Linked DNA regions of Diceros bicornis minor. The protein of the gene in region 4 interacts with the protein of the main gene of each other region in a pairwise test. Links are inferred from orthologs where the notes say so. Each region holds a gene or a part of one and is shown on either strand. Other genes may lie near its edges. The genes, in order: PTPRD, PTPRF, PTPRS and PPFIA1.

Region 1 (7,328 bases), on a different chromosome or scaffold from region 4:
AAAGTTATTAATGTTCCTATCTGTTTATCATTGACATACACTGAGAAACTGGGATCACATATGAATTTGCACAAACACCTCTTCTATGTTTCACACTCCATATGAAAAATCATCCTTACACCACCATAGTTTCAGAGCAGCTCTAAATAATGTTCTTGTAAGACGCTTCAATCAATGTCTATACTAACATCAGAGCATGAGTTAATGGGTTAAAAAGGACAAAATAAAAACTTAGGGGACTGCCTACTTGAATTTTTTTTAAATGTCTCTCTAGGAAGGGTTTGCATATGCCATACAAGGATGTCTCCTGGATATAAGAACAGTTATACAGGCCCCTAGTGGCTTAGCAAATAGCAGCAGATGAGGGGATTCCGATTCTTAGTTCTCACTTTGAGATATTCTAGCTTTAAATGAATGCCAACCTTAAAAGGCAAATCAAATCACTGTATTTAATACTTAAAGTAGTTTCATGGTTATCGACTGAAATACATATATATTAAAATAGATCACTGCATTTCATTACTTTAGTAACTACAACTGCACTGGTCCGCAAAGAATTTGTGTTATATAACCTCCACAATAAAATATTTAATTCATCCACCTCTTTACATGTCATTACAAAAGTAATATATTACTCATATATATTAAAACGTCTTCGAGAGACACTTTTCCTCTTTGAATCTCATTCCTATTACACTATTATTACTGAAGGCTTTATGAACAGATTATTTCTATGCAAAGTGCTCGCTATTTAAAATGAACTATAGATACAAAAAGAATGCCACTTTTACAATAGTAGAAATCTAAATGTATTTCCTAACAACAGCCAGTGATAAAACTCACATTGGGGTGAATCTATTTTAAAAGATCTACAATTAACAACACCCCTTAATCCTCAACTCTTTGCTGTCTTTCCTTTACAAAAGAAAATTCCAGGCAGGCACATTTACAGCTTTTAGCAATTTTTAACTGGACACAATCTGACAGCTGAATTCATGAAACTGACCAGGTTGTCAATTTCACACTTTGAAAGTACAATAATAGCTGATAGCATGAGGGTGAATTTAAGAAATCTGTCACAGAACTGCTAGCTCCATTGAAAAGCAAAGTACAGTACATAATTATGGGAGGTGGGAGGTAGGGAAATTTTCTTTCTATTGTCCATTTAGGACATCTGTTTCAAGAATTCGGACATCAAGCCCTGAAAATTTATTCTCTCTTTACTATTTCAATAAAATAATATCCATCTGTGGCATATAACTGAATATGTTTTCAAAATAAGAGTAATATCTACTAGGCATTGTCCTGGATATCATCATATTACCGATATTACATAATTTTTAAGTTGGTATCATCTAAACATTCCTTTAAATCAGAATATTTCAAGTTTTGGTACATCACCCCGCGTTTACTCAAGTTGAGTAGTGGGTGTGTACACTTTGAAACACAGATGGAATAGCCAAAATGGTTAGAACTGTCTACAGTTGGACTAACTCCCCATGTGTGCTACAGGATGGCTGGAAAGAGCACACCAAAGAGAAAGGTTCCCATTTGTAGCTCTGGAAGTCCAACAGCAAATCTATCTGAAGTCACAAGCAGTTACCAGTCTCTGAGAGGCTCAAAATGTGTTCCCTACGCTCTAAGTCCTGGCACTGTGTCTGTGGGCACGTAAAAGGAAAGAAGAAAAAAAAACAACTTTAAGAGAAAATACAGGGAGAGCGATCCCTCAGGAATCTTCCCGGGGTGCTTCCTCTAGATTGGTCTGGGGGATCACTCTAAGAATTTTAGAAAACAGAGGAGACATTTGGCAAGTCGTGTACTGGGAGGCGAGCTGGAAACAATGCAAGTGGATTGTGATATTCCGGGTTTTGGAGAATGGAACTACTATTCAGAACCCTGGAACACCCAATTAATGAAAGCCAAGCTCACAATTAGGGTTCAAGAATTTTTTAAAAGCATAAGAAAACTGACTTCATTTGTTAATGCTTCTAAATGCAAATCAACCTCACAGATAAACAAGGCAAGTTTTCTACATGCCTATATAAAAACTACAATAAATCGATAGAAAAGCAAAGAACCTTTGGTTTACTAGTGGCTTTCCTTTTAAATTGTTTCCTACAACTTGGGCTTTTCATTGTAAATTCTGCGTTCCCTTCCCTACGGGATGAGTGTGTAGGAACAGCAGATTCCCGTAGCAGAACTACGAGCTCTGATTCTGCCATGGAAAGGTCTCCAAAACAATCCCCCTCCTCTATGGCAGCCGCGTAGACTTGATCCCTGCTGTTTCTCCTTCTCCCCACTAGTTCAGAGGAAAGAAAGAAAAAGAAATCGCCCCCTCACCACAACCAGCCCTCCTTAAACAGTGATCACTGCCTCTTAAAAAAATATATGCAGTGGCAGAATCCCTGGGTAGGGTCGGATTGCCCCACCGCTCCACATTTCCCCCAATATACGCCCACCCCAGGAGGAGAGAGCGAGGGTCGCACAAATACACATATCCAAACACCCTCTTTCTCCAGAATTGCCACTCTCCCTGGTCCGAAGCTTTAAGTGAGAAGCGACCCGCGCAGTGGAGGACCTCTGCCCAAGGAGCTTCAGAGAGGACAACTGTGTGCGCTCCGGTGCCGGGGCGCTGGGCTCGCGGACGCGGGAGCGCGTTGCTCCGGCCCGAGAGGCGCGGGCTGCCGGAGCCGGGCTCAGGGAAAGCCCCAGGCGCGGAGAGGGGAGGACACAGGGGGGCGGACCGGGTCAGCTCGGGGACTTACCTGGTCATGTTGGCTCCGGGCAGCCGCCGCCACCGCCTCCCGCGCCGCCACCAGCACTTTCCTCCAGCGCCTTCGCGCCCCGCCACGGCCGCGCAGCCCGCGCCTGCCCCAGCCGCCGCCTCCGGGCGGCCAATTTAATCCCGCGGAGCTGCGGCCGCCGCCGCCGAAGTCCCCTTGGTCGCTGCCGCCGCCCGGCCCTCGTGCGGCCAGCCCAGTCCACAGCGAGGAAGTGGAGGAGAGTCAGCGAGTGAGTCCAAAAACCCGAAATCCAGCATCCAAAGGAGCGCGTCCCCCCGCCCTCCCTCCACCCCTACCCCCTTCTCCTCCTCCTCCTCCGCCTCCTCCTCCTCGTCTTCCCGGGCCGTCCTCCTGGCCCTTCTGAGCCCGCGGCGTCCGCGGCGGTTTCTCCTCCTCCCGTTCCTCCTGCTCGCCCAGCGCTCGCTTCCCCGGCTGCCGCCGCCGCTGTGTGTCTCCTCTCCCTCCTCCTCCTGCTGCTCTGCCTCCTCCCGCTCCTCGATGCTCCGCCGCTCGCGGCTGGGGGGTCCTGGGCCGCGTCTCCTCTCCTGCCTCCGCCTCGCCTCTTTCCTCCTTCCTGCTGCTGCTGCTTTTAAAGAGGATTCTTTGGCCACAAATAGCAACTCGGCTGCCCCCCTCAGCGCCTCCCTCCCCTTCGTCTCTTCTTCCCCCCAAAAGTGAAGCGCACGCGAGAGGTAACCAGAAACTGAGGCCGGCGGGGGAAGAGGGGAGGCGGAGGAGAGGGGGCGAGGCGACGGTTGGAGACCGGCCCGAGAGGAGTCGAGGGCCAGGACGTGGGATGGCCAGTCCAGCCCAGTCCTTGGGCCTGGCGTGAACCTGGTGGTTACGGTTGGAGGCGAGGTGGTTTGGTGGGGAAATTAAATGAAAAAGCTCGGGAAAGTGATTGGAAAAGCTTCTCTCTTTGTTTCCTTTCTGGGTGATTTCTAAAATCCTCGTAACGTGCTGGGGATCCCACGGAATCGCGGTGCCCCAGCGCTAGAGGATTGTGTGCGCGCGTTGCCAGCGCCGGAGTGGGAGTGTGGGCGCGCCGGGGCGCGGGGAGAGCCAGGCCCGCGGCGCCCGCTGGCGAATCGCTGAATCTGGACCACTGACCCGCTGAAAGGGCCGGAGAGCTGGACGAAGGAGGGGCAGGCAGGAGAGCTGGGCGAAGGAGGCGCACCACACACACACACACACACACACACACACACACACACACACACACACACACTCTCTCTCTCTCTCACAGAGGAGGGGGCGGGGTGACGTCACTCTCCAGCATTCATCCACTAGGCCAGAAAAGACCCCTTCTAACAAATTCACTCATCTGCTAAGAGATGCACACCCGGGCGCTTCCTGCTCTGCATCCCCGCGCACGGGAGAAAAAAATGCTGCTCGCGCCCCATTCCAAGCAGTTATGATAACATAAAGAGCGCGCCTTGATGAGACAGTTTGTGTCCGCCCCAGTTCACCTTGGCAGCCTCATTCTGGGATGCTTGTAGGATCCACTTTGGAGTCAGAGAAGAAGAAAGGGAAATATCGAATTAATCAGTGTAATAACTTGTTTTGCTTCCATGCCACTTGCTTTTATGATGTTGGAAATGCAGTGTTCCCCCACTTCTCTGAAGGACACCATAAAACCCTCTCCCTAGACATGCGCTCAGTTGTTGAGCTACACAAGCTTCATCCACAGAACCCTTCATCCACAGCAGACACTGTGTGGATTGTTAGCTAAGAGGCGAATTTCAACCTTCTTCACTCCTCCTAGGAGTGGAAGAAGTCAGCGGCTGGAAGCCACCATTGGCAATTGGCCTATCAAAATTTTTTTTTGAAACTTGGTCAGAAAGGTTAAATAAAGGCAGGGCCTCCAGCCACCTCTCTTGCTCATTCTGTGTTCAGGCCAGCACATACACACAATACTTATTCTTGCAGGCCCAAGGCTGTCTTTGAAAGAGCAAAGGTAAGCAGACCCCCTTAGATTCAGCCTAATGATCCCGCATCCTGACTGTTGTTTCAAGCTGCCCGTTTGTTCCCACCATCTGCATGCTGTGCTCCTGAAAGGCACTGAAGGATTGGTCAGTAATCCTCTGCCCCCTGTGTGCTCCAAAAAGAAGTCATGTATTTTTGAAAGGAGTCTTGCTAAATGAAGTTTAGTTTTCCAGCAATTTGAGGGGGGGGGGAGGATCATCTTGGCATGACTCTTCCTTGTTCTTTTTTTATGGTTAGGCTTACAGTGAAAATCAAGAAGAAATCTATTCCTGTGCGAGCCCCCAGAGCCAGGTTTACCCTCCAGTCTTTCTGATGACACAAGGAACTGAAAGGCTGAGCAGGTATGGTGGATTCCTCCTCCCTGTGCCCTAAGGATGGATCCAAAAATCTGAGCCTCCATAGGTGATTCTCACTCAAGGTCTAAACTCTGAATTGGCTTTCTCATTGCCACCTTCTCCCCCATCAACTGAGTCTCATTTTCCTCTTGCAAAGTTGGATGTTAGAGGAACAGACAGAAAGTTTTTAAAACCCTAATATTCCTCTGCTGTTGTCTTTGGTGGAGAGACACACATCCCTCATTTAAGAAGATCTGACCAGATCTGACCTTATTTAAGAAGATCCCAGTAGGGAAGTGTGACTGCTATCTGGGAGCATCGTTGAGGAAATATCAACCTGCCCCACTGGCAGCAAGTTAGCTAGAGAATTTAGCAGTGATCATTCCCAAGGTGAGCAACAAGCAGTGGAAATCAGAGGAGACGGAGGACAGTATAAGTAAATGACAGAAGCCCAAGGACCCAACATGACATCATGAGGCCCTAGACGTTCCTGTCCCACCACAACCAAACATCTTGGAGAAAGAAGTAGCAGTCGAGGAGGTGACTAGAGAGTCTGAGCTATTATTGTACAAAAGAGATGGCATTATTCAGGGTGATGCTGTGGAGGAAGAGGAGATAAAGCAAACAAAGGAGACAGACTTTCTCTGCACATCTGAGTAGTGGTGGGAGTAGTGTTCTGCAGCCCAATATACACATATTAATGCTTTCAGAGCAGATTTATGACAAACCAGCGCCCCGTGGCACTCTAATACAACCTCTGGGATAGTTTGCCATTTGGAGATTTGAAGTCAAAGAACATCAGAGGGAGGCTATCCCAGATCTAGCTGGCTATCAACAATTAGGAGTTGAAATCACCTAATTTTATAGGTAAGGAAACTGAGACCCTGAGAGTTTAAGGTGACCCAATTATTTGGTGGCAGAAGCAGAACAAAAATCCAGATATGATCTAGTCTCCTCCTCCCCCCAGCTATTCCTAATTACCTCCCAGTTCTGGATCAAAGAAGCTGTTTTTCCAACTTATCGATGAGCAATAAATATAGAATATTGTAAAACTCTACTTCCATGAAGGAAAATTAAGCAATGGAACTAGACTTTTTCTTACTTCCTCTCCAGCTCTGACATCTGTAATGAATAGCACACAGGAGCTTTGCTATAGCACAACCCTCTCTAGTGCATAATTCAGCATCTGATGAGTATGAGTCTATTTTGGATCCCATCCAAGGGAGTTAGTTCCTAGAAGTACTCGAAAGATTTTACTCTCATCTATCATGAAGCATCCTAAAAAGAAGACTAAAAATAATCATAACAATAATAGTAATCACTTGTTACACTTGTATTACGTACTAAACATCAGGCTATCTCACTGTGTTTCAAAAGGCACATCATGACCTTTTGTGGGTCACGAACAAATCTTTAAGCAAAAGAAATGAAAGTAGTATGCATGTAGTAAAGGAAAGAAGAGTGCATTATAGGTACTAAGTAGTTTTGTAAAACTTATGTTTCCATCATGTGGCTAGTGACTAAAAGAAAAAGTTTCAAAGATGCTGCCTCACCTCGAATCTTAACAACTGCCCTGCTAGTTAAGTATTATTAGCCCTGTTGTTTAAGTGAGGAAACGGGAACAGAGAGGGTAAGTAATCTGACCAAGCTGACCTAGCTAGCAATTGGCCAAGCTAGGATTTCGAACTTACATCTGTTTGACTTCAAATCTTGTGTTTTTACTTCTATTCTGATTATAAATTATTATTTAGGGAATTGAATAATTGTTGCTGATCGTATTTTCTTTGTGAGGGCTATAGTGGTTTGTATTAAATCCAGTTAGAATGGAGAAATCACAACCTAGGTTCAAGTGGCATACTCTGAAGATAGTGAATAGTGTCATAAAGCACTGAAATCAATATCTGAGACCTCTTCCTATAGGTGCTAGCTGTGCCTAAAATACTTCATTAATTTGCTGCTACACGCATAAATGGAATAATAAGGAATGGTTTTAATCCTCAAATAACTTAAATATTAATCTCTACAAGAGTTAAAATGTTTATTTCAGAGAGTTTTTCAAATTTAATTCATACAGCGTTTCTCCATAGCTTACTTCTTGTCCCCAACACAGAAGTGGCACGTGAGAAAGATAAATCAAATATATATAAACATAGTCCCTAAACTAAACAATACCTTATTTCATTTGAGAACACAAGATATCCACATATAAAGTAATCAGACTACA
Region 2 (8,270 bases), on a different chromosome or scaffold from region 4:
GAAAAGGAAGGAGCAGAAACCACACCAAGCCCCAGGATTCAAACACAAACGTCATGGAAATGCATGTTACACAGAGGCCATGTCACCTCCATGCGGCCCAAACCTCACCACCCCTGCCAGCCTCAGTGGGGGGCCTGGAGAGACGGTGTGACGCCAGAGATGGGGGGTATCCCCGGCTGAAGAACAGCTGGGATCGTTCTGAGTCCTCCTCATGAATATGCAAACACAGATTAATTTGTTTCCCTTGGGCACGTGTCATTATTCATAAATATTAATTAGTCTCCAAATACCACCTGTTCCTACAGCCTCCTCTCCCTCTTCTCCCCAGGCCAGGACCCTGGCTCCCAGGAGGCTGGGGTCCCAGAATGGACATCAGCAGAAAGAGGGGTATCCAGGGCCCCACGGAGCGACTGGCCAAGAGGAGAGGCCAGCGCTTGGGCAAGAGGAGCCCGAGGGCAAGGAGAGCAGGAGCCATTCCTCTTCTAACCGGTGAGCGGCTAACCGAGCCCTTTTGTCACGTCCTGGACAGTTCACCGCGTGGCACTGCAGCAGCAGCCGCGGAGGCGGAAAGAGGCCTTGTTACACTTGGGAAGGGAAAACCAACATGTTTCCAACTCTCACCAAACCAACCGCCAGATTATGACAGGAATAAATCAGAGGCTCAGCCGTGACCCCAGCCCCGGGAGGTGGCCGGCAGCCGCTGCCTTCCCTCTCCCAGCCCATGGGCCAGAGTCTGGGAGCCGCCTGCCCTCCCGCTGCTGGGCCCCCGCCCTCTCACAGCCCTCAGCTTCTCAGTCTCCCCTGGGAGTGGAGGGGGAGATTAGGAGGAGCGTCCCAGAGTCTCTGGGGGTGGCACAAGGTCCAGCAGAGGCATAGCTCCAGGGGCAGAAGACCAAGGGGACCAGCGGTGACACCTTCCCACAGCTGGAACCCCTCTGCCCCCAGCCCTCCAGCCTCCTTCCTCCCTCGGGTTAATGCTCACCAGCGTGGCTGACCCAGACCTCTGTACTTGCTCTTCTCTGTTGGGAAGAGTGCCTTTCTCCCACCCCCAGCCACCTGCTTGCTCCTCAGAACTCAGCACAGTGGGCCATCACTATGAACCTTCTCTGAGTGACCCTCCCCAGTTTTCCAGATTTGCATAGCATAGTGAAGGCAGCAAGAGGTGGTGTAGAGCAGTGGGTCTCAATCCAGGGTGATTCTTCCCCCCGTGGGACATTAGGAAATGTCTGGAGACATTTATCAAGGGCAGGGGCAGGGGCAGGTGCTAGTGGCCTCTACTGGGAAGAAACAAGTGACGCTGCCAGACATGCTATAATAACAGGCCAGCCCCCCACAAAAAAGGATCATCTGCTACAAAATGTCAACAGGACTGAGGTTGAGAAACCCTGAGGCAGACAGCAAGATCTTTTGCTGATGTGACCTAGGGCCTGCCCTGGCCCCTGCCCCAGCACCCAGTCCCCTATGAGCACCCTGAGCCCTGTCCCCAAGGAGGCCTCAGCCTGGCTGTCCCTGGGCCTCGGGATCTCAGAGCATCTTCCCCTCCCCGTCCAAGTCCGCCTTGCCTCCAGAAGCTGGGCTTCACGGCACAGCTCACCCCACCCCGTGAGACACACCATCAGCAAGTGGCCTCTCCAGAGGACAGAGGGCTCCACTTTCAGACACCTTTTCTGGTGAGACTGGGCTCCCAGGTAGGTCAGACCCATCCTCTGAGGATGGACAGGTGAAGGGACACATGGTATTCCCACACCCACTCGCCCCATCTGACCTTTCCAACCTGTGACACGGCCCTTCCTGCTGCACCTTCTAAATAACGCCAATGCCCACCTCACCACGCACGGGGTCTGGCCACTAGCAGATACCCAATATATGCGTATTTCCTTCACCTGCCTAGGCCAGACCCATCTCTTCCACGGCCCTCTCCATTCAGCTGTCCGTGCAGAACTGTTCAGTGAGCCCTCCTGGGCCCTGAGCCAGGAGGCAAGGCGATGAACAAGACGGTCATGGGCTCTGCCCTCAGGGATCCTTCAGAGGATGGCCCAACCAGAACTCATCCACCCCAGTGCTGCCCCTCCTCCAGGTCCCCATCTCAGTGACAGCACCACCATCGACCTGGTCACCCACGCCAACCAGTCCTCCTCAAATTCTCCCTTTTCCTCATCCCACACACCCAACTGGTCAGTAAGTCTGAATCTGCCCTGTCTCTTCCGTCCCAACCACCACCATGTTAGTAAGACTTCATCACACCCACCTCTTTAGTGGGCTTCTTGCCTCTGGTCCCTCCCTCCAATCCATTCTACACACAAACCAATGCCCCCGTTTAGCTACAAAAAGGCAAATTTGATCACGTCCCTCAAGCACACTTTGTTTGCTACCTATTCCACAGTGGACATGAAGATAATGTTTCCTGAATAGATGAATGGATGGGCAAATGGATATGTGAACACATGGATGTTGCTCCTCTGTTTAAGCACCTTCAATGCCTCCATATCACCCTCAGGAAAAAGTCTAGAGTCTTCAGCCTGACATCCAAGGCCCATCATGCTCTGATTCCAGCCTAACTCTCCAACCTCGTTCCCTGCAACTCCAACCTACTCGCTTGTGCTTCTAGCAGAAAGAAAGAAAGGAGAAGTGGACCTCAAAGAGACAAGGATGGATGTGCCCTAGATCCTGTGGGTACCCTGCTCCTTCTACCACAACCTACAGTTGATGGGAAGTCTTTTCTACAGAAACACGGTGAATGGAAAAGCAGACAGATCCTGGTGTAAGTCCCAGGATGTCACCCGGAAGCCTATTTCACACCTACAGCAGCTGACGAGCTAGATATCATTCCCCACCCACCGCCATCATCCATTCCGGCCAGAAACCCAGGCACCATCCTTGACACCTCCCCTCCCTCACGCCCCACATTCAATCCTTCACCGTGTCCTGTCTACTCCACCTCCCTAAATAGCACTCGAATCCCTTCTCTCCACCTCCATCACCACCTTCCTGGTCTAGGCCTCCATCATCTCTCAGCTGCATGCACACAGGATCACGTCATGCCCCTAGTGACAAGCCTCCCATGGCTCTCCACCAGCCGGGGTCAAAATACAAGCTGCTCAGCTTGGCCCACGGGACCCCTCTGCACCCCTGCCCCTAGCACACTTTGGGGCACACTCACCAGGTCTTTGCTTGCTCACACCAGTCACTCTTGGACAACCAGCACTGAGGGCTGGGCACCAGGGCCTCTGCTCCTTCCTGGAGAGAGAGGAAAACACCAAGAATTTCGTCACAGCAGAGTATGTACTGACACAGAAAGACATTCAAAATATGCTGTTTATGCAGGACAAAAAAAGCACGTTACAGAACTGTTCACGCAGGATGATCTCCATTTAGTAAAAAGAAAGAAAGAAAGGAGGAGAAGTGGACCTCAAAGAGACGAGGGATGTACCCCAGATCCTGTGGGTACCTTGCTCCTTCTATCACAACCTACAGTCGACAGGAACAGTCTTTTCTACAGAAACACGGTGAATGGAAAAGCAGACAGAGCCTGGTGTAAGAGCCACTTCACTTCTTGAAGAGCCGCCCATCTCTTCCCTCACTCACTCACTGGTACTCCTGAGTACCTACTATGTGCCGGGCTTTCTTCCAGACACCCAGCATATAGCCGGAACAACACAGACCAAGTTCCTGACCTCAGCGGTAAAACTTGTGTCCAAACTCCTCCTCATACCCCTGGAGTGGGGCAGACGGCTCTGCCCACCTCTGCAGCCCCCATGCTCCCTCCCGCCAGCTAACTGCAGGAACTTCCTCTTCTGATGCTCAAATGTGCCACAGTTCTTCCAATCTGCCCAGCTGTATGCCACTGCCTGGAACCCACTACCCAAGTTCTTCTAGCCAATAGCCCTCAGATCTCAGAGCCAGTGGCACTTGCTCAGGGAAGCCTTCCATGATGTCCCAGACTACACGCCTGGACTTTGCCTTGGAGCAGTGACCACAAATGCCATGATTTATTTATTTATACAGTTGCTGAGTCATGACCATAAGCTCAGTGTCCCTGGCTCAGCTCTGCATCCCCAGGACCCAGCAGCGAGCCGGCACATAGTAGGTGCTCCGTCAAGATATGCTGAATGAGTGAATGAATGCGTGAATGAGTTCATGGAAAACAGCCCAGCCTGGAAGAACCTCACCAGCATACATGCAGCCTCCAAAGAAGCTTCAAAAGCAGTATTTATTTTTGACTTCCTGCTTCTCTGTAATTTTTAAAATGAAGGTGTACCCCTGGATGTCTCCTCCGCTGGCACACACACAGCGACAGAGCCCGGCCCCTTCCTTCTAGAACCATTTCTGAGCCCCACCAGCGTAGGCACCGTCCTGGGTGGGGGCAGGGTGGGACACGCCCACACCGTCTCCTCACCACCTCACCGCAGCTCAGCAGCTCAGCAACTTGGACGCAGGAGGCGCCTCGCAGTGGGCTTCTCCTCGGCCTCACGCCCCCACACGCACCCCATCCCCGCCCCACACTGCTCTGCCACCCGGGCTCCCCCCAAAGCAGACACCCAGGAACCCGGGCCAGGGAGCGCCCTCACTGACCCGAGGCCAGCCTCCCGCACCCGGAACCATCCTCACCAGAGACTGACCGCCTCTGCCAATGCACGGGACGTCCTCACTGAAGGGGACGGAAGGCCCACCCTGACTGACCAAGACGGGCCTCCCCAACCCGGGACCATCCACGCTGACCCTGGAGCTCACACCCTCTCCCCCCTCCCTCGCTCGCCTGCCCCCCACCTAGAACCAATGTCCTGGGCCTTAGGATGGTGGCACGCTTCTCTCCCCCAGCCCACTGAGTTTCTCCATCAAGTTCCCTGTGGCCGCTGCTCCCAGCACACAGGCTGCCGGGCAGGTCTGGCCAGACAAACCAGCTTCCGTGTCCCAAACTCAAAGGCCCGTTTGTCTTGGGACGCCTGTGGGGCCTCAGATGTGAGACTGTTGGCTCCACTTGCTCGGGACCCAGGGGCAGAGGAGCAGAGTCCAAGGCGCAGAAAGGGGAGGGTCCCCCACACTAGCCAGCACTACTGCCACGCCCAAGGCCACACTCACAGCACTGGGCCTGGTGCCTGGACCTACACTGAGCAGGAGCCACAATGGAAAGAGGTGTGTGCCCAAGTGGCCTGGAGGCGGGTCAGAGATAAAGCAGGCACCGCACCTTGCACTTGGAAAGATCCGAAAGCACACAGAAAGAGCTGGTCCAGCACCTGCAACCACATCAGTCCTGGAGCAGACTGGTCCCCAAACAGCCTAGCCAGGCAATGAGAATCAGCTCTCAGATTCAGCAGCAGCAGCACCCAGAACCACTCTGGACTGCCGGATACATCCAGAAGACCAAGTAGAAACCTACTCGGAAAGGGCCTGATGGGTACTGGACCCAAGCTAGGAATGACCTGTTGGCACCCAGGGAGGCCTCAGACGGGGTAAGGTCGGCAGCCATAACCTAGATCAGGTAAGAGGGCCTCGGCACCAACCCGGGGCTCGCCCCTCGAAGGGCTCTCTGCCATCTGCCAGGCCTGGAAGCTGTAGCAAGTTGAACACTAGAGAACCACCCACATTCCTCTGGAGCAGCCCCCAGGCAGCCCCTATGGTTGCGCCAGGAACAGTCCCCAGAAGCAGCAGCTAAAACATGTCGAGAAGCTGTTCTCAGAGCTGGAGGTCCAGGTGACTCCGGAGCTCAGAGGCGGACTTGGGAGGAAAGAACCTCACTAGATGCCCAGGGCCCCGGCAGGGGGTGGGGATGGGGCACTGAACCCACTGAGGCTGCCCCTTCTCAGAATCCCCTTCTACTCTCTCCCAACATGGGGTCTAGTTTTCTCACACCAGCCCAGCTGAAGGTCAGATACACCCGAGCAACACACACAATCCTGTAAATGATGAGGAGGGCTGTGTACTCCCTTTCCCCAGCTCCCCCAAAGGGCTAACCTCAGCTCAGAAGTGCAGTAGGTGGCCATCCCGTGATTCTGACGGGGGTGGGCGTGCACCACCCGTTGATGACGATTACAATAACAACTGCAACAATGGGAGAACACTGCTTACGACATGCCCTGCTCTAAGCACTTTCTCCATATCAACTTTGACCCTCATAAGAACCCTATGAGGCATGGAATTTTATTGTACCCACTTGACAAATGAGAAAACTGACTCAGAGATGTTAAGCAACTTGCTCAAGCTCACACTGCTATTAAGAGGAGCTCAACTCCAGCAGTCTGAAACCAGAGTCTGCACTCTTAACCACTGAGGCTGCCTGCTCCTGAGGAACACAGCTCCACACTCTCTCATATGATGCGCCCTCCTTTCTCTGGCCCAGACTGCTCTCCCAAACTCCAGACCCTCACACCCAACCCCCTCCTGGATTCCCTCCCTACCCTCGACCTCAAATGCCCCAAGCACCTCACAGGCGACAGGTCCAACCATGAGATCACCATCTGCCGCCCCTCCCCAAGCCACCTCCACTCTGCAGGTTCCCAGCTCAGTGAAGGCCCCATCCAGTCACTCCCAGGAACCTGGACCCCTTCCTCTTCCTCACCCCTACATCCAATAAGTCATCCTATCCTAATAATGTGCCTTCTGAATGGCTCAATGCCACCGCCCTATCCATGCTACCATCATCTCTCACCTGACTTACCTGCACCCTTCTCCTCACTGGGCGTCCTGTCTCCATCCACTTCCCATAGTCACGGAATCCTCCTCCAGAAACATAAATTCGATCATAGCACATTCCAAACTCCCTATCCAAGCTTTAATCCTTTGGTATCTCCCTTCTGTGTTCTCAGAGTAAAATCATAGCTACTTAACAGGGCATTTAAGGCCCTCTGTGATCTGCTACATCTCTGAATACCCCTACAAGTGACAAGACCTCTGAGTCTTATGTTGTTTTTTTTTCCTGCCTGGAGTGCCCTTCCTTCAACTGGAAAACTCCTACTCATCCCTCAAAACCCAATTCAGATAGCCTCTTCTTGGTCTTCTCTGGGAAACATCTCACCTTGACCTCTGAACTCCCCTCTGCCTCATTTTGAACTCCCCCAACCTAACCTCAGCTCAGAATTGCCACCGCTTTAGGTAAGCTGATGCTGAACTCAACCTCAGCAGCTCCTAAGGGATGGGCCACCTCTTCTACACAGCTGTTATTCCCACAGGAAGCAAGGCAGCCTGGCTGAGAGTGCCTAGTCCAGAGTCTGGCACACAGTCGCCAATCAATAAGAGGTTACTGAGTTCCTCTGCGTTCCCATGATGCAACTGTTCCCCTAGGGACCATGAGCTTCTCAAGGGCAGGGCCCTGGCTGCAAGCTTGGCTCAAGAACAGCAGTGTCAGTCACACGGGAAGTGGCTGCTGCTGCTGCACCACACACAGTTCCTCTGGATTCTCACAACAGCCTCAGCACCTGACCAGGGCTGGATTAGCCATCCCATTTTACAGGGGGTAAAACTGGGACTCGGGAGGAAGGCATCTCCTCAAGGTCTCAAGCTGGAAAGTGGAGGCGCTGTAGTGTGTGTCACAGCCTCTATGGAGGAGGTCTCCCCCTGACTGAGGGCCTGCCAGACTGGACTCCCACACTTAGGGCTGAATGGAGAGAGTGGAGGAAGCACGAACTGCCAGGGCCAGCATTTTGTTGCATATCAATACAATTCCCAAGAAGACTTTTCGCCAGTCTCCTCTTACTGCAGGTACCCCAGACCCAGCCCAAACTTCTTCACCAGCACCCAAATCCAGCCTCCTCTCTCGGAAGCCCGGACACTACCCCCACCCTCAGTGTGCACATGGCTGGCGAGCCGGGAGGCCGGGAGCTGCAGGAGGAAGACAGGAAGGAAGGGAGGAATTATATTAAAACAATTTCCTTGTTAGAGGAAAGAAAGAGAGAAGAGGGAGTGGAAAAGAAAATACAACCACAGACACATTTCAGATGATGTGGGGGAAACTGAGCAAGCAAAAAGGTACAAGGAAGTGTGTGCACGAGAATGCATGAGACTGTGAGTGTGCACACACCCCTCCCCGGGCTGTGCACAGGGGTGCTGTGAGAGGACACGCGAGCACACAGAAGTGGCACATGCGCATGCAAGCACAGATTTCTGAGCTCCGCTGCCATGCAGGCCCAAGCGTGCAAGTGTGAGGGCAGGAAGAAGGTGAGTGGATGTGGACTGTGGGGGGTGAGCTGAGTGGGAATGGGGTGTGATGTGAGTGTCTGGCCTGTGCCCTGGGCTGCGGATGTGGAAGGGCTGTGCTTGGGGAGTTACGCCTGCTC
Region 3 (7,432 bases), on a different chromosome or scaffold from region 4:
TCTTTATATAGGGTGTGAGGTAGGGGTCCGACTTCATTCTTTTGCATATGGATATGCAATTTTCCCAGCACCACTTATTGAAAAGACCGTTCTTTCCTCCACTGAATTGACAATCTTGTTGAAAATCAACTGACCATAGATGTGAGGATTTATTCCCGACTCTCAATTCTATTCCATTGATCTCGAAGTCTATTCTTATGCCAGTACCACATTGTCTTGACGACTGTAGCTTTGTAATAAGTTTTGAAATCAAGGAGTGTGAGCCCCCAAACTTTGTTCTTTTTCAAGATTGTTTTGGCTATTCTGGGTCCCTTGAATTCCCATCTGGATTTTAGGATCAGCTTGTCAATTTCTGCAAAAAAGACAATTAGGATTTTGATAAGAATGGGGTTGAATCCATAGATCAATTTGGAGAAGATTACCATCTTAACAATATTAAATCTTCCAATCCATGAACATGGGATATCTTTCCATTTATTTAGGTCTTCTTTAATTTCTCTCAATGAGGTTTTGTTGTTTTTATGGTATAAGTCTTGCATTTCTTTCGGTAAATGTATTCCTAAGCATTTTATTCTTTTCGATCAATTGCAAATGGAATTGGTTTCTGAATTCCATTTTGTTTGTTTATTGCCACTGCTTCGGAAACACAATAGACTTGTGTATTGATCTTGTATGCTGCAGCCTTGCTGAACTTGTTTACTAATTTTAATAGTTTTTTAGAGGATTCCTTGGCATTTTCAATCTACGAGATGATGTCACGTGCAAACAGAGAGAGTTTTACTTCTTCCTTTCCAATCTGCATGCCTTTTATTTCATTTTCTTGCCTGATTACCTGGCGATCACCTCCAAAACAATTTCAAATAGGAACGATGACAGTCCTTTTCTTGATCTTAGGGGGACAAGGTCCAGTCTTTCACCATTAAACATGATGTTACCTGTAGATATTCTTTATCAGGTCAAGGATATGCCCTTTTATGTCTATTTGTTGAGTGTTTTTATCACGAAGGGCCGTTGAATCTTGTGAAATGCCCCAGCTGGGGTTTGAACTCATGTCTCTCCGACTCCAGAGCCCCAGCACTTACCTGATGCACTAAATCAGTGGACCCCCAAAGGAGCCCCACGTGGAACCCAGTAAAGAGCGGGTGTTCAGCAAATGGGTGTTCCCGTCTGCCCCTTTTCTCTTGGGCATTCGAAGTAAACTTGCAGACAGAGGGAGAGAGAGAGAGAGCATGCAATGCTTAATTTGAAGGAATGTGCAATGATGGTGGAATCTCTTGCACAGAGCAAAGTCGTAGGGGAGATGTCTTCCAAGGATTCAAGGCTGGGTTCTGTGCAGACAATCCTGCATTTGGCGTGAGGAGTCCTGTTTATATATTGTGACAGGCAGCTGATGGTTCCCCTGGAATTGTCTCAACGAAAACACAATGGAGCTAATTACCAGGTTCTGGGAGACGCTGGGGCGGAGGCTGGGCTGGGAGGGAGGGAGGAGGAGGCTGGGAGGGTGAGGGAGTCCCTCCACCCCCCCAGCAGAAGATGGAAACGTTCTTTGACTGAACTTTTCACCCAACAAACAATGAGTCACACCCACAGCTTGCCGCAAAAGAGACCCAGAGCCCACCACGCCCCACCTCCCACTTCTAGTGTTTTGCACAGTGTGGATCTTGGACGTTTAATCCATGCCCCCAGGGAGGACATTCTCTCCTTGGTTCTCTTCAAGTTTTGGCTTGCAGGAAGTCTCGGTTTGGTGTTACTGAATCCTTAACACCTTTCTGACACTTGCCAATCTTCCAGGGCTGGCCAGAGGCTGCAACAATATCAGACCAGAATGTTCTGTCCTCCTGGTATTGATTTTTATGGTCACCCGGCTAGCCATCCTGCTTTTCCCATTTACGGTGGCCACAAACTATCCCTTCTTGAGTCTATATTCAGTGCCAAGCGCTTGGCATGACATAACTCATTTTACCCTCCCAACGACCTCAGGAGATAGAGACCATTACTATCCGCCATTTACAGATGGGCAAATGGAAGCACAGATAAAATGGGGAGACAGACAGAAAACGAACTGGCCAAAATATAAAATCATTCCAACTTGTAATAAATAATATTGTACTGAGATGAAGATGAACTTCAGCAGGATGGTTAGAGAGAATCTCTCAGAGATCTGAAGGATGAGGGGAATACAGACATGGGAAGAGTAGGAGGAACAGCATCCTAGGCAAAAGGAACAGCCAGTGCAAAGGCCCTGAGGCAGACTGTGCCTGATGTTTGCAAGGAACAGCGAAGAGGCCGGTGTGAGTGGAGTGGAGTGAGCAAGGGGGACAGCTCGAAGAGGTGAGGGCAGGGAGGTGATGGAGGCTGGTCATGCAGGACCTTGAGGGCAGTAAGGAGGAGCTGGGTTTTTACCCAGAGTGAGAGATTGTCTATGTCCTCCGTTGGACTAGTAACTCCTGGAGGACAGGAATTTTTTAGGCTATTTTGTCTACTTCCGTGTCCCAGCCCTTAAAACAGCCTGGCACACAGATGGATGGCCTGAATGGATGGGGTCCCCGGGCACACGGCTGTACTGTGTTTCATATGTGTTTTCCTTTGCAGCTCGCAAAAACCCTCAGAGGTAGATGTGGTTGTCTCCTTTCTGCAGATGGGAACAGGGAGGATCAGAGTTACTTGTTCCAGGTCCCCCTAATAGGTGGCAGGGCTGGGGCCCCTCCAGAGCCAGCAGGCTCATTTCACTCTGCCTCCATCGAGGATGCAAGGCTTGAGCACCTACTGTGTAACGAGAAACCAGGCTGAGCATTTATGCACAGACCATCTCGTTTGACCTTTCAAGAAGGGGTTGTGTCCTCATTGCTCGGATAAGAAAGCCAAGACCAGATTGTCAACGGCTAGGCCGGGGTCACTCAGCCAGGAAGGAGGACAAAATAGACTCTGCAAACCTGGCCACTGCACTGGCCGCTGGGAAACTCCGAGCTTAATTTAGGCTCCTTGTTTAATTATTCATCCTCTCCTCTCTCTTTTCCTATTTATGACTTCCGCCTTCTCATTTTGTTCCCCGGTTAATGCCTTTTGTTTATATCTGCATCTTTGGCCTGGAATGAATGAATCAACGATTCCTCCTCACGATTTTGGAGGAAAAAACCCCAAATTCTAAACTTGAGTCCCTTTGTGGGCACAAGGCCCTCTCCAAATGCGTACCTGGAAGAAATAAAACGCTTTCAACACGTTCAGAACACAAAGACCCGATGGGCACTTTGGTTTGGCGTCTTTGAGCCCACCCACGTCCCATGGTCATCTTCCCCTTTTATTTTTGTCTTTTTTTTCTCATTATCCCATTTTCAAACACCAACTACAGGCCAGGCAGGTGCATTATCACAATTCATCCTTACACTCCCCTTGTGAGCAGGGCCTACCTCTCCCCATTTCACAGACGTGAAACTGAGACCCAGATAAGCAAACCCATTTGGCAGGTGGGAAAACCGAGGCTCAGGGCCCCCCCACAGCAAGTCAGTGTCTGATCTGGGATTCCCACGTGGTTTGTCCTGACTCCAGGGCAGTAGAGGATGGTAATTAGGTGGGGTGTTTATAAAGTGCTTACTCTGCAGGAAAGGCTCCCTCATCCATCCCTTCAATCGTTCAACCAACACACCGGGCCCCATGGAGTCACACCCTCGTGTGACCAGAATAAAAACAGGCTGATGGGATAGAGAATGGAGAGTGGGGTGGCTCAGGCGGCCGTGATCAAGGAGGGCTTCTCCCAGGAGCAGTGTTTGAGCAGAAACCGGAAAGATAAGGGAAAGATCTGGGGGGAAGACGATTCCAGGCGATGGAACAGCACTGAGTCGGGAGTGAGCAGGTTGGAGGAACTCTAAGGGGCGGGCTAGGCTGAAGCATAGAGACCCGGGGGCAGAGTGATGGGTGCGAACGCGGACAGATGGGGCTGGATTTTATTCCAAGGGCACCAGGGAGCCACGGCCGAGTTTAGAGCGGAGCATGGGAAGCACCACGGCCTTGGTGCCACGCGCCTCGGGTCTTGCGCGCGCAACCGCGGCCGCCAGGGTCCCCCGCCGCCCACGTGTCCCGCGAAGCCGCGCGCCCCACGTGCTCCCGCGGCCCTTTAAACGCCCCCGGGCCACGTGACCGCGGCGCGGCGCGCGATTGGCCGGGGGGCGTGGCGGCGGCGCGGCTGCGCAGTGACGCGCGCCGGCCGGCGCCGCCCCGGCCCCGCCCCCGGCCGGCGGCGCTGGCGGAGGGGTGACGTCACCGGCTGGGGGGGCGCGCGAGCCGCAGTGAGTGTCCCCGCCGCCCGCCCGGCAGCCCGGCCGGCGCGCGCACGCCGCGGGCGCTCGGGCTCCGCGCGGATCCCATGCCACGGCCGGGATGTGACGCGGGGCAGAGCCGGGGAGCCCAGCCCAGCCCGCCTGCAGGTACGGGGGGCAGCGAGCACCCGGATTCGCGGGAAGGAAAAGGCGATGCGGGCGAGCCGCCGGGGGGGCGCGGAGCGGCCGAGTGGGCAGCGCGCCGGCTTTGTGCGGGGAGGCTGCACGGCCATTGTGCGCCCAGGATGCTCCGCCGCAGCCGGCCGGCGCCCGGACAGTGCCCCCGGGGCTGCGCCCGGGCGCGCGGGGCCGCGGGGAGGGCTCGGCGGGCGGCGCGGGGGGCCGCAGCGGCCGGGGGGGCTGCACGCGCCCGGAGCGCGGCGCTGGAAGCTGCCCAGCGCCGCCGGCTGCACCACCCCGGGCTGCGGGCGGGGCGCAGGCGCGTGTGCCGGCCGGGGTCCCCTCTGCCTCCGAGACCCAGGGGGCGCTGTGCCGGGGGCGCCCCGGAGTGGAGACCAGCCCGGGACGGGCGGCTCGGTGCAGCGAGGGGGATCGGCCGGTGCGCCCAGGGCGGCTGTCCAGTCCCCCTCCCCTGGAGACCCCCGACGCGACGCCGTGTCCCCCCAGCGCCCTCCCGATCTCATCCATCCTTTGGGGGCGGGGGAGCGCCCCTCCGGCGCCCTGGCCTTGCCCCACCCTGCTGGGGCCCCGGCACCCCTTCCTAGCCCCCCAGGCGGGGCGAGGCGCAGCCCCCAGCCCCTGGGACTCCGGCGGCCGGGCGCGCGCGTCGGGCACCCGACCTCCCCTCGGCGCTGGGGACCCCCTGGGGATCCCGGCAGAGGGGAAGCCGCCCCCGGAGCCGCCAGCCCCGCGGGTTCCGCGCGCCCCGGGAGCCCCCTCGGGGGGCTGGGAGAGGGGGAGGGTCGGTGACGTCATCCCGGGGGCGGAGCCGTCGGAACCGGGTTGAAGGGGGCGCCTGGGGGGGGCGTGCCCTGAAGGGAGCCCCCCGAGTTAGAGTGCCCGTGCCCGGGGCACGAGGGTTTCGGCCGGGCTGCGGCCAAGTTCACTGCTCCTTGTGGAAATCTCGCCCAAATTTAGGATCACCCCCTTGGTGCCCCCCGCCGCAAATCTGGACACTTCCCCACCACGAAAACCCCCTAAATCGGAGAGCTGCCTTTCAGCCGCTTTCTCTCCAAAATTCTCAATACGGGGAACCCCCTGCAAACTGGAATCTTTTTGTTCAGCCACACCCCCCCAAATCTGGAACCTCCTCCGTAGTGACCCTTCCCCCCCATTTCAGATTCTCCTCTAGGAACCCCGTAAATATGCAGATTTTGAGAACGTCCCTTCCCCTGCAACCCTTCCTCAAATTTAGCCACCCCCTAGAGATCTCCTCCCCCCATTCACAAGCCTCCCAGCGCCTCCATGTGGGGGGCACTCTCGTCCCCCTCTTGGGCTCAGCTGGGATTCCCCTGTCCCCCCATCTCAATCTCGGGGAGTCCCCATTCTGAGCACGGGGCCCTTCTGCCTCCGGACAGACCACTGCAAAACCAGCCTGGCCAACCCGGCTGGTGAAGGGGGGTGTCTGAGGTCCAGACTGGGCATTGGGACTCTGAGAAGCAGAGATAAAGCTGGAGGGTCCCCGAGGGTCTCCAGGATAGGGACCCACCCGCTCTGGGCCCCCAACAGCCTCCACCTGGACTCTGGCTGCTGGGGTTCTGGCCTTCTCTCATTGTCACCCATCGCTGCCGTCTCTGGGGTGCAGGGGGCGAGGACCGCTTTTGTTCGGGGCGCTCTGCCCTCCCCTCGGAGCTGTCTTCTCCCTGCGAGGAGACAGCCAGCCCGCGTCTCTACTCCTGATACCAGCTGCTGCCGAGGGAGCTTTTATTAATGGCCGAGGGACTCGGTGGATTCTGCCATTTGCATAGCTCCCCTCCCCCTCCCAGGGTCCCCTTCCTTTGTGCCCTCTCCCCCTGCCAATCCCGCCCGCCTTCTGTCCCTCAGCTCTTTTCTTCCTCTGCCAGCTGATACTTTGGCTGCAGAAGGCAGGCAGCTGGGGCTGGGGGCGGCTGCTTCCCGCCCCCACATCCCAGACCCCACCAACTCCGGTCTGGGTATCTCCAGCTGGACCCCCGTGTCCCCGCACCATGCCCTCCGCTGGGCATCTCTTGCCGCCTGCTGTCTGCCCGTTTCTCCGATCTTCCTCTCCAGACAGCTCCTTCCTGCCCTGTCCCCGGGGCCCGGGGGGGCACCTTCACCATGACGGTGCACTTCTGCCTGGGGCCCTGGCCCCCCCAGCCCCCTGGGGGCTGCCACCCGCTGTCGTGGATCGCCCAGAGAGTTGGTATAATTGGGCTCAGGGAAACAAAACGTCGCGGGAGACCTGGCCTGCCTGGTGAGCTCATGTGCTTTTCTATTCCTGCCACCCCGGCCGATGACATCGACCCCCCAGGGGGTGACAGGGGCGGTGCTGGCATGTCAGAGTGGCCTTCCTGAGAGGCGATGGCCTGGTCCACTCCCCACCCCCTCCGGGAGGTGGGGGAGGGGTCATTCTGGTGTGGCGGGGTGTGGCACTGGAGGGCACTGCTAGGGTGGCGGGCTGGGCTCTCGGGGATCCCTCCTCCCCCAGGGTCCCCTGCAGCCCCTGAGCTGGGCGTGTGGTGGGTGCAGAGAGAGGGGGGCACTGAGAGCTGGCCCCTGCCTGCTGCCCGCACAGAGATCATACTTGTGTTTCTATCTCCTTCGAGCATCTTCCTTTTTACCCGCTTCCCCGGGGATTCCGAGCATCTTCTCGTGTCCGTGGGCCCCCCCCCCGGAGACACGAGGCGTTTTTCTCCCAGCACTGGCTCTGGGCCGAGGTGTCAGGAGTGGGTGGAGGGGGAGAAGCTTCCCGGCTGTCCTTCGGTGGTGGCGTCTGGGTGGACAATTCTGGAGCCATCACCATCCACCCATTTTCTTCTTCATCGGGTGGCGCAGAGCATGGGGCTCTGCCCGGCCTTCCCCAGACCTGGGGCCAGTCCAAGAGACACATCCACCTCCGCTCTGGCCGTGGCTTTCTGGGGGGGTGCCTCAGTTTCCCCTCCCGCCTCCAGATTCGCACTGAACTGTATTTCACAGGT
Region 4 (7,643 bases):
TTGGGGGACAATTCTTGGGAGTAGGGAGGAGGGGGCTTCTGGGAAGCTTGGTAACATTTCATGTCATAATCTAGGCAGTGGTTACGAGTGTGTTCACTTAGCGACTCAATGAAATGTACACTCATGACTGTGAAATTTTCTGATGTGTTATAGCTAAGTTTTGTATAAGCACAGTATGACTGGTCTACATAATGGGCCAGGAGAACAAATGCAGTCAGTTCACCATATGCCTATCTGGTCACAATATCAGCCACCAAACCTGAGACAAATGCCAGGAAAGGGAAGGGTCCCACAAAGCGCTTACTTACTGGTTCCTGTGTTGCTGAAACGCTGGACGTGGTGCTCAGGTGAACTGCCGACATCATCACATTCTCCACTCAACGAGGCATCTCCAGCTACAACCCTGAGCAGTCGCTAGAAACAAATCACTGAGCAACTGTCTCCTCCCGCTGGTGGGACAGCCTCCACTGCTTGAGACCGTACACACCAAACTGGCCCTTCCCTGCTCTGTCCCTTGAGCTCATTCCCTCAAAAAACTACCTTATCAAATATGGAAGAATTGATATACACTTCAGTGTATGTACCTCAAATTACAGTAAAACAAACACAGTTACAAAAACAAACAAAACTACTGAAAAGATTTACGAATACATTAAAATCCTGGTAAAACATAATTTGGCCAATCCTTTTAAGCTTGTGGTAATAAAATCTGACCTAAACAAACTTGGTAATTTATAAGATTTGAACGAGAAAAAACGTAATGATTCTCTATCTCAACAAAAAAGGAACATTATAGCACTAATATCAAATTATTGTTGCCAAAAAGGAAATCCAAATGTTTGGCTTATCAATCTTTCAGGAGAACTGACTAAAGCCAAGAAACGCATTAAGGCTGGTAATTATTCATTTCCTAATTCACCACCGCAGACCCATCAGGAGAGTACAAGCAGACGCTCATTCAGGCCACCCGAAAGCACCATAAAGGCCCCCAGACAGCTCAGAGGCACCCCAAAACCCACGTATCTCCCACATGCCCTGTGCCGGTACCTTCCACTTCTCTAGGTGACACTTTCTCCCTTCACCCACCATTAAACCCTCACTCAGCTCCAGAAGAAAAGGCTTTGACACACTGGTCCAAATGCAACATACCCAGACTAGCAACCTCAGTGTGACTTTAAGCTTCGTAACTCACACCTGCCACGGAGACAGTTCCAAAGGAGTCAATCTCCAGCCTTCCAGCCCCTGAAACAAATCTCATTTAGAAAACACAGGTGTTCTAATAAAGGCAGACTGCAAAAATATTTTCTCTGTGAAATCAATCCTATTTGTCCATTAAATTTCATTATGTAATTGGAAATACAGGATAAACCCGTGGGAAATACACATTTCACAAGAAGTGGCTTAAGCCAATAGATCGGAAGGCACCACAGAGCTTGGTTGCCCCATGGCCCTATTTCAAAAACTTTGGAGCCCTCTCTTGAATCTAGGCAGTTCCTTCTGCTGCCCCGAAGGAAGGAACAAGAGTTATGAGGTATTTTCACATGACTTTAGAGCACCACAGAGTCTGTTCTCCCTAAGACGTTTAATCCTCCGGAACTTTATCTATACGTGGCTTACAAATATCAGAACCACCATTTCACAAATGGTTACGCAAAATACTCATCTAAGATAGTAATACCATAGAAGAGGACATCATACAACAACATTTAGTGGAAAAACATCTGTCAAGTTCCAGGTGAAAAGCATCCATACCTGTGGAAGTGCAGTATTGAGCTGTCTCTGCAAGGAGTCTCTTTCATGGCCAACCTCGTGTAATTTCCCCTGGGTTAATGCCAGCGTCTCTTGAGTCTCTCTCAGTGTGTCAAGAAGACGGTCCCTCTCTTCTAGCATGGACACCATCAACTGTTCAAAATGTGAGTCTGCGTCTGGCTGCGAAGGGGAGCTGGACCCATGGCTCCCACTTCCTCCTGGGGGGCCTTCTGCTTCACTGATGGTTGGCATCACCTCGCACATCATCTTGAAATAAAAGACCCAAACTACAGTCATTAAGTGCAAAGTAAAGTCTCCCACAAATCTGCAACTTTATAGCTATCTGCAGCTAATCCATGAACGGCTGTCAGCCTCACTCTTTTCAGATCTGACTGTTAAGCTCTGTATATAAGTGCGCTGGGAACAGAGACGCATGCAAACCCTGAGTCGGAACACTTGAGATCAAGACACCAACACAGACAACAATCCAGTCATGGGGTCAAGACCAAAGACGACTATGCCTCAGTTAAAGAACAAACCCTGTGGCATTTTGTTTGCACGGGTGTACTTTCTAGTTGTTGAAAAGAAGTGTGCTTCTGTAACCTATTCTTGTTTTTCTATTTCCTGGTGGGGGAGAGGAAGTCAAAACAGACGCTACCCAATCGTTTTTCAGGAAAAGCACAGAAAGAGCACACAGCCAGTCAAACTGACAAGTACAGAATCTGTCGGGCATCTTACAGGAATGTGTGCAGTCAGCTCCTGGGAAGGACTGACGGCTCCCGGAATTCTTGGGCTGGATTTGGTGAGCGCTAAAAGGAACTGGATTCGTCAAGGGCTGGGAGAGGTGTTTCTCAACGGCTGCAAGGGTTGGCCAGTCAACCTGACTTACGTAAGGTAACAGCCCCCAGAAAAAAAAAAAAAAATTCCACAATGGAAATACCGCAGGTCAATAACAGCCGTGGACGGCTGGGAAGGTAGGAAAAGTGAAAGGTGAGATTACGAGAGGCTATTAAGTGACTCAAACATAACGACGGAGCGAGGGGAAGCGGGGCCGGTCCAGAAGCTGCCGGCGGGGCTCGGGGCTCGGCGACCCCCGAGAGAGGATGCCCCAGACCGCACACCGGACAGTGACAACGACCTCGACCCCACTCGCATCCGAAGCAGGTGCTGCAGAGCCACGGACACCGGGGCTTCTTGCGGCCACAGGTCCTCGCCCCCTGCGCCCAGGGCTGGGTCACCGAGAGCTGGGGTCACCTAGCGCTGGGGTCAGGGCAGAGGGCGGCGCGAGGCCCCGAGAGCCCGTGGCTGGGGGCGCGTCCGCCGGGGGTCCCGCCGGGGGCGCCGCGGGCCTCGCCCCCGCCCCCGCGCCCGGAGCGCCCCGGCCCCCCGGGGCTGACAGGAATCGCCGCGCGGCCGCCGAGGGACGGGCCGGGCCCCGCTCCGCCCGCGCCGGCCTCAGTCTCCCGCTCCCTTACCTTGCTCGCCGGCGGGAGCGGGCGAGGAGGCTCCGCCGCGGCTCGCGGGCGGCTGCGCGCTCCGGGCGAGCTCGGGGCCCGACGAAGGCGGCCCGCGCCGGCGCCCGCCGCCCGCCCCGCGCCCGCGCCCGCGGCCCCCGGTCACTAAGGCCGGCCCGCGGCCGGACACTGGCGGAGCGCAGGAGGAGCGGGCCCGGCTGCGCGGCGCCGGCGTCAACGTGCCCGACGTCGGGCGCGTCGGCGCAGCGTCAGCACCGAGCGCCGCCGGCCCGCCCCGCCCCCCGCCCCGGGAGAGCGCCGCGGCGGCCGAGTGCGCAAGCGCCGCCTCCTAAGGTGGGGCGGGCTGCGATTGGCTGGGCGCGGTCGGAGCCCCGCCCCAAGGCCCCGCCCACATGGGGGCTCCTCGGCTGAGCCGCGGCTCCGGCCTCTGGTCCTCACGCCCCGCAGCATCTTCCACCTCGGGGGCTGCCCCCAGGTCTCTTCCTACAGCCACGGGGACTCCGAAGGCCGTTATCGAGCGTGCATCCAGACACTTCCCAAATGTCACGTCCACACGCCTTCCTGGAGAGCGCGCCCAGGTGCAGCTCACCTGCTCGCAGCCGGGGGGAGCCCGCGGCGTCGCCTCTCCTCGGAACCGACCCTCACAGGACTCGGAAGGACGCGGCTTCTACGCAAGGCCCATTGACCGAACTTCACCTGCTGTACTCGGGGAGGCAGAGATGGGCGTTTGATGTCGAAGCTCCTGGGCGCTGGGTCGAGAATGCAGGCTTTGGGGCCAGCACACCTGGTTCAACTCCCAGCAGATATTTATCCCTGCAGCGTGGGCCTGGGCAACCCAGGGGAACCCGTGTGGGATCAAGTGCCCCGTCTGTAGGATGGGAAGAGGAGACAGATCTACCCCAGGGCTGTTATAGGAATAGAACTTATAAAGAGAGACTCGTTGAGAACCTGGTTGGGGCGCTCTGCGAATGGTGGTCATTTTTATCCTTCTCAAACGTTGTTATCCTTCTTATTCATAGTTTATCCTTACTCAGACTTTTTAAAGCACCTGCTACCTGCTGTCTGCCAATTCCTGTGCTAGATCTTGTAGATACAGAGATTACGAAATCCACTTTTGGGCCGACCCGTGGCTTGGCGGTTGTGTGCGTGCGCTCCGCTGCTGGTGGCCCGGATTCGGATCCAGGGCGCGCACTGGCGCACCGCTTCTCGGGCCATGCTGGGGCCACGTCGCACATACAGCAACTGGAAGGATGTGCAACTATGACGTACAACTATCTACTGGGGCTTTGGGGAAATAAAAGGAGGAGGACTGGCAATAGATGTTAGCTCAGAGCCGGTCTTCCTCAGCAAAAAGAGGACGATTAGCATGGATGTTAGCTCAGGGCTGATCTTCCTCACACACACACACAAAAAATCCATTTTTAATAAATTAAAGAAGATGCTCTCTGCTCAGGATTTGACTTCTGGAGCACAAACTCCTCATACACCGAAAACGTGAGGGCATCGTTGTCAGGCGCCATGGCCACCGTCTGGCTGTCGGTGGTGAGGCAGCCAGGTGCCCGTGAACTCGCCAAGTCTAAGTAAAGCCTGCATGGAGGGGTGGGTGAATCCTTCCCAGGCAATTCCTTCATTCCCCATTGTCAGCTCACCAAGAACAAGTGCAACCTCTGATTGGCTTTCTTCCTTCCCAGGGTCCAGGACCACACCTTCCTTTCATTCATGTATTTGTTCATTCAATAAGTATTTGTTGATTGACTACAAATAAATATAAATTTGCACACCTGAGCCAGGGTCTGGAACAGAAGAAAATTTCCAGCTCTCCTTAAATGTACCAGCTTAATTCATCCAGCCCATATTTACACCACGCTGTCTTCTAAGAAATCGGCACAATACCAAAATTTAGTTCAACAGGGTAGAAGGTTCATTCATTTCGTGAACATTTTTAGAGCACTGTGAGCCAGGCATGGTCTAGGTTTGGGGAACACAGAGCTTTCTAAGACATCACTTCCCCTCAGTTCACAGCCTGGAAGGAAGAAGAGAAACAGTGTTACAATGTCTGTCTTATAAACAGGTGTGACTTGGTGCTGTGGGACCACAGAGGAAGGAGGAACCAACTCTCCAGCTGTCATCCTGGGGGCTTCACAGAGAGGATGACATCTGAGCTGGGTCTCGAAGATGAGCGATTTTCCAAGCATAGAAGGGAGAAGCTCATTTGGTGTAACTCCAGGAATATGAGAATCTCAGATTTCATTCATTTTCATTCCTTCATTTCGTTCCCTCAGATTGCAAAAATCAGCAAGAGGAAAACTGTAAACAACCTAAATGGCCAACAAAAAGAGATTGGTTACATTGTTGCACTTCCAAATGACAGAAAGCTCGGTGACACAGTCATATTTTATCTAATGACACACAAGATGCTCTATCCCGATTGTAGTGGTAGTTACAAGACCATATGTGTTTGTCAAAATCACAGAACTGTACACTAACATGTAAGGTATCCCCAATTTTTAAAAATGGGAAAAAAACTTAAAAAAAAATCAAGTTATAAACAAGTATGTACAGTGTGAGCCCAAATTCAAAAAAAAAAAAACAGTCTGTGTTTAGATGAAGAATCTATTGGGTAAAATTTATTATCTTGTATCTGAAAACTTCTAGAATGTTATTAAAGTGATAAAATTGTAATAAAATGAATTTTACGTGAAATATTTTCGAAAAGTGAAATTAAATTTTAAGTCTCAGGTTTGTCAAAGAAAAACGTATGTCTGTGTGAAAATATTGTTACTGTATTCAATTAGGTTTTTACATTTCTTTCTATATACATATACATATATATTCCTGGAAAGCGATACATCAGAATGTTGGCAGTGGTTGTCTTTGAGGGGGACTGTGGGTAGTTTTCGTTTCCTTCTTTGTGATAGTTTGTACTTGGCGGATATTTTGTCTTGAATGTGCATTATTTTTATCATTAGGGGGAGAAAAACCCCACAAATGTTACTCTAACAAAACCTAGGCAAGAACGAACCATGGAGAATTGCTTTCAGGAAGCTAAAATGACTTTTCGATGCAGTTATCTATACCATCCAACCTAAATTTTTCCCAGAAGTATTTATCTGAAACACATTTCAGAGATTGTCTAGCATCCTTGTAAGCCACAGTCAGGAAAACCATGAACATAGAAAATGTTTTCACTCCGATTCTTCTGTTAAGGTTTTGATAAAGAAAATAAGGTAAAACGGAAGGGGGCGGAGTGGAGAGTTCATTACTCTCTCCAGGGGTGTGTTTTTCCCAAATGTGCCGCCAGCCTGGGCTCTCTGGGTGAAGTGGTTAGTTGTCAACCTTGAGCATGACCGGGCCGCCTCTCCTTTCTAGAAATGTAAGCAGCCCAGGAAGAGGGTTCCTGCGAGAACAGAGTGTAGCCCATCCTGTCCTAGAGATCTGAGTGTGTCCCAAATCTAGAATATGTAAAGCCGCCTAATGAATGGTGGTGTGACAATACAGTCAGGGGAAGTTCTGAGCTGGGGGTGGGTGGTGGAAGATGTGGCCCTCCCTTTAAGAGGAGGAAACTGAAGCCCAGAGATGCGAAAATGCTTCGCCTCCTGGCGCCCAGCTCATTTGGGGCAGAGCTGGGACTGGAGCCTTGAGTGAACCAGGGGCTACTGATTCCAGATCTAGTTGCCACACTATTGCGACTGAGGAGTGGTCTCTTTAAGGGACAACTAAGAATAAGCATGTTATCAGTGGGTCTCCAGTGCTGCCCCAGTAGTCCGATCCCCTGCGGAAGAGATGGGGCCCTGGCTTCATTATCTTGGTGACTTTAGCCATAGAGTCTGTACTTGAGTTACCTTTGTGTCCCTGCTAAGATGGAGGAGGGAAAACGAGGAGAAAGGGAAAGAAATTTTACTTATTTGTCTCATTTAATTCTTAAAATACTTCCCCACGTGGCTGTTCCGGTATCCTTCGCATTTTGCAGATGAGGAAACTGAGGTCTGAGTGGCTGCTGAACAGGTGAGATCATCAGCCAGAGTGTTCCGGTTTCCATGACAGTTCAATTTCTCACGGTCAACAAATTATCTAAAGTTTTGGTCCAACGATGAGCCTGTCGGGAGTTTGGCTGGTGCATCTCAGTTCCCGAGAGCACGGACACCTCTGGGTGAAGTGATGATAAGAAAATCACATTTGGGGCCGGCCCCGTGGCTTAGCGGTTAAGTGTGCGCGCTCTGTGACGCACCGCTTCTCCGGCCATGCTGAGGCCGAGTCCCACATACAGCAACTAGAAAGATGTGCAACTACAACATACAACTATCTACTGGGGCTTTGGGGAGAAAAAAGAGGAGGATTGGCAATAGATGTTAGCTCAGAACCGGTCTTCCTCAGCAAAAAGAGGAGGATTAGCATGGATGTTAGCTCAGGGCTGGTCTT

What was found.
Region 1: the proteins of PPFIA1 (region 4) and PTPRD interact in a two-hybrid assay, tested with the Homo sapiens proteins (2 studies listed by BioGRID). The link is inferred for Diceros bicornis minor from reciprocal best matches to the Homo sapiens genes PPFIA1 and PTPRD.
Region 2: the proteins of PPFIA1 (region 4) and PTPRF interact in a two-hybrid assay, tested with the Homo sapiens proteins (2 studies listed by BioGRID). The link is inferred for Diceros bicornis minor from reciprocal best matches to the Homo sapiens genes PPFIA1 and PTPRF.
Region 3: the proteins of PPFIA1 (region 4) and PTPRS interact in a two-hybrid assay, tested with the Homo sapiens proteins (2 studies listed by BioGRID). The link is inferred for Diceros bicornis minor from reciprocal best matches to the Homo sapiens genes PPFIA1 and PTPRS.

What each region holds. Positions count from the first base shown.
Region 1 is NC_080761.1:32,419,976-32,427,303, forward strand, and holds the start of PTPRD (receptor-type tyrosine-protein phosphatase delta), read right to left. Parts: upstream 3,011-7,328; 5' UTR 2,766-3,010; intron 1-2,765.
Region 2 is NC_080752.1:6,461,273-6,469,542, reverse strand, and holds the start of PTPRF (receptor-type tyrosine-protein phosphatase F), read right to left. Parts: upstream 3,239-8,270; 5' UTR 3,161-3,238; intron 1-3,160. UniProt on the Homo sapiens protein: Possible cell adhesion receptor. It possesses an intrinsic protein tyrosine phosphatase activity (PTPase) and dephosphorylates EPHA2 regulating its activity.
Region 3 is NW_026691615.1:2,739,751-2,747,182, forward strand, and holds the start of PTPRS (receptor-type tyrosine-protein phosphatase S), read left to right. Parts: upstream 1-4,321; 5' UTR 4,322-4,421; intron 4,422-7,432. UniProt on the Homo sapiens protein: Cell surface receptor that binds to glycosaminoglycans, including chondroitin sulfate proteoglycans and heparan sulfate proteoglycan.
Region 4 is NC_080770.1:3,999,111-4,006,753, forward strand, and holds the start of PPFIA1 (liprin-alpha-1), read right to left. Parts: upstream 3,310-7,643; 5' UTR 3,225-3,309; intron 2,898-3,224; exon of another isoform or gene 2,488-2,897; intron 2,017-2,487; coding exon 1,753-2,016; intron 1-1,752. UniProt on the Homo sapiens protein: May regulate the disassembly of focal adhesions. May localize receptor-like tyrosine phosphatases type 2A at specific sites on the plasma membrane, possibly regulating their interaction with the extracellular environment and their association with substrates.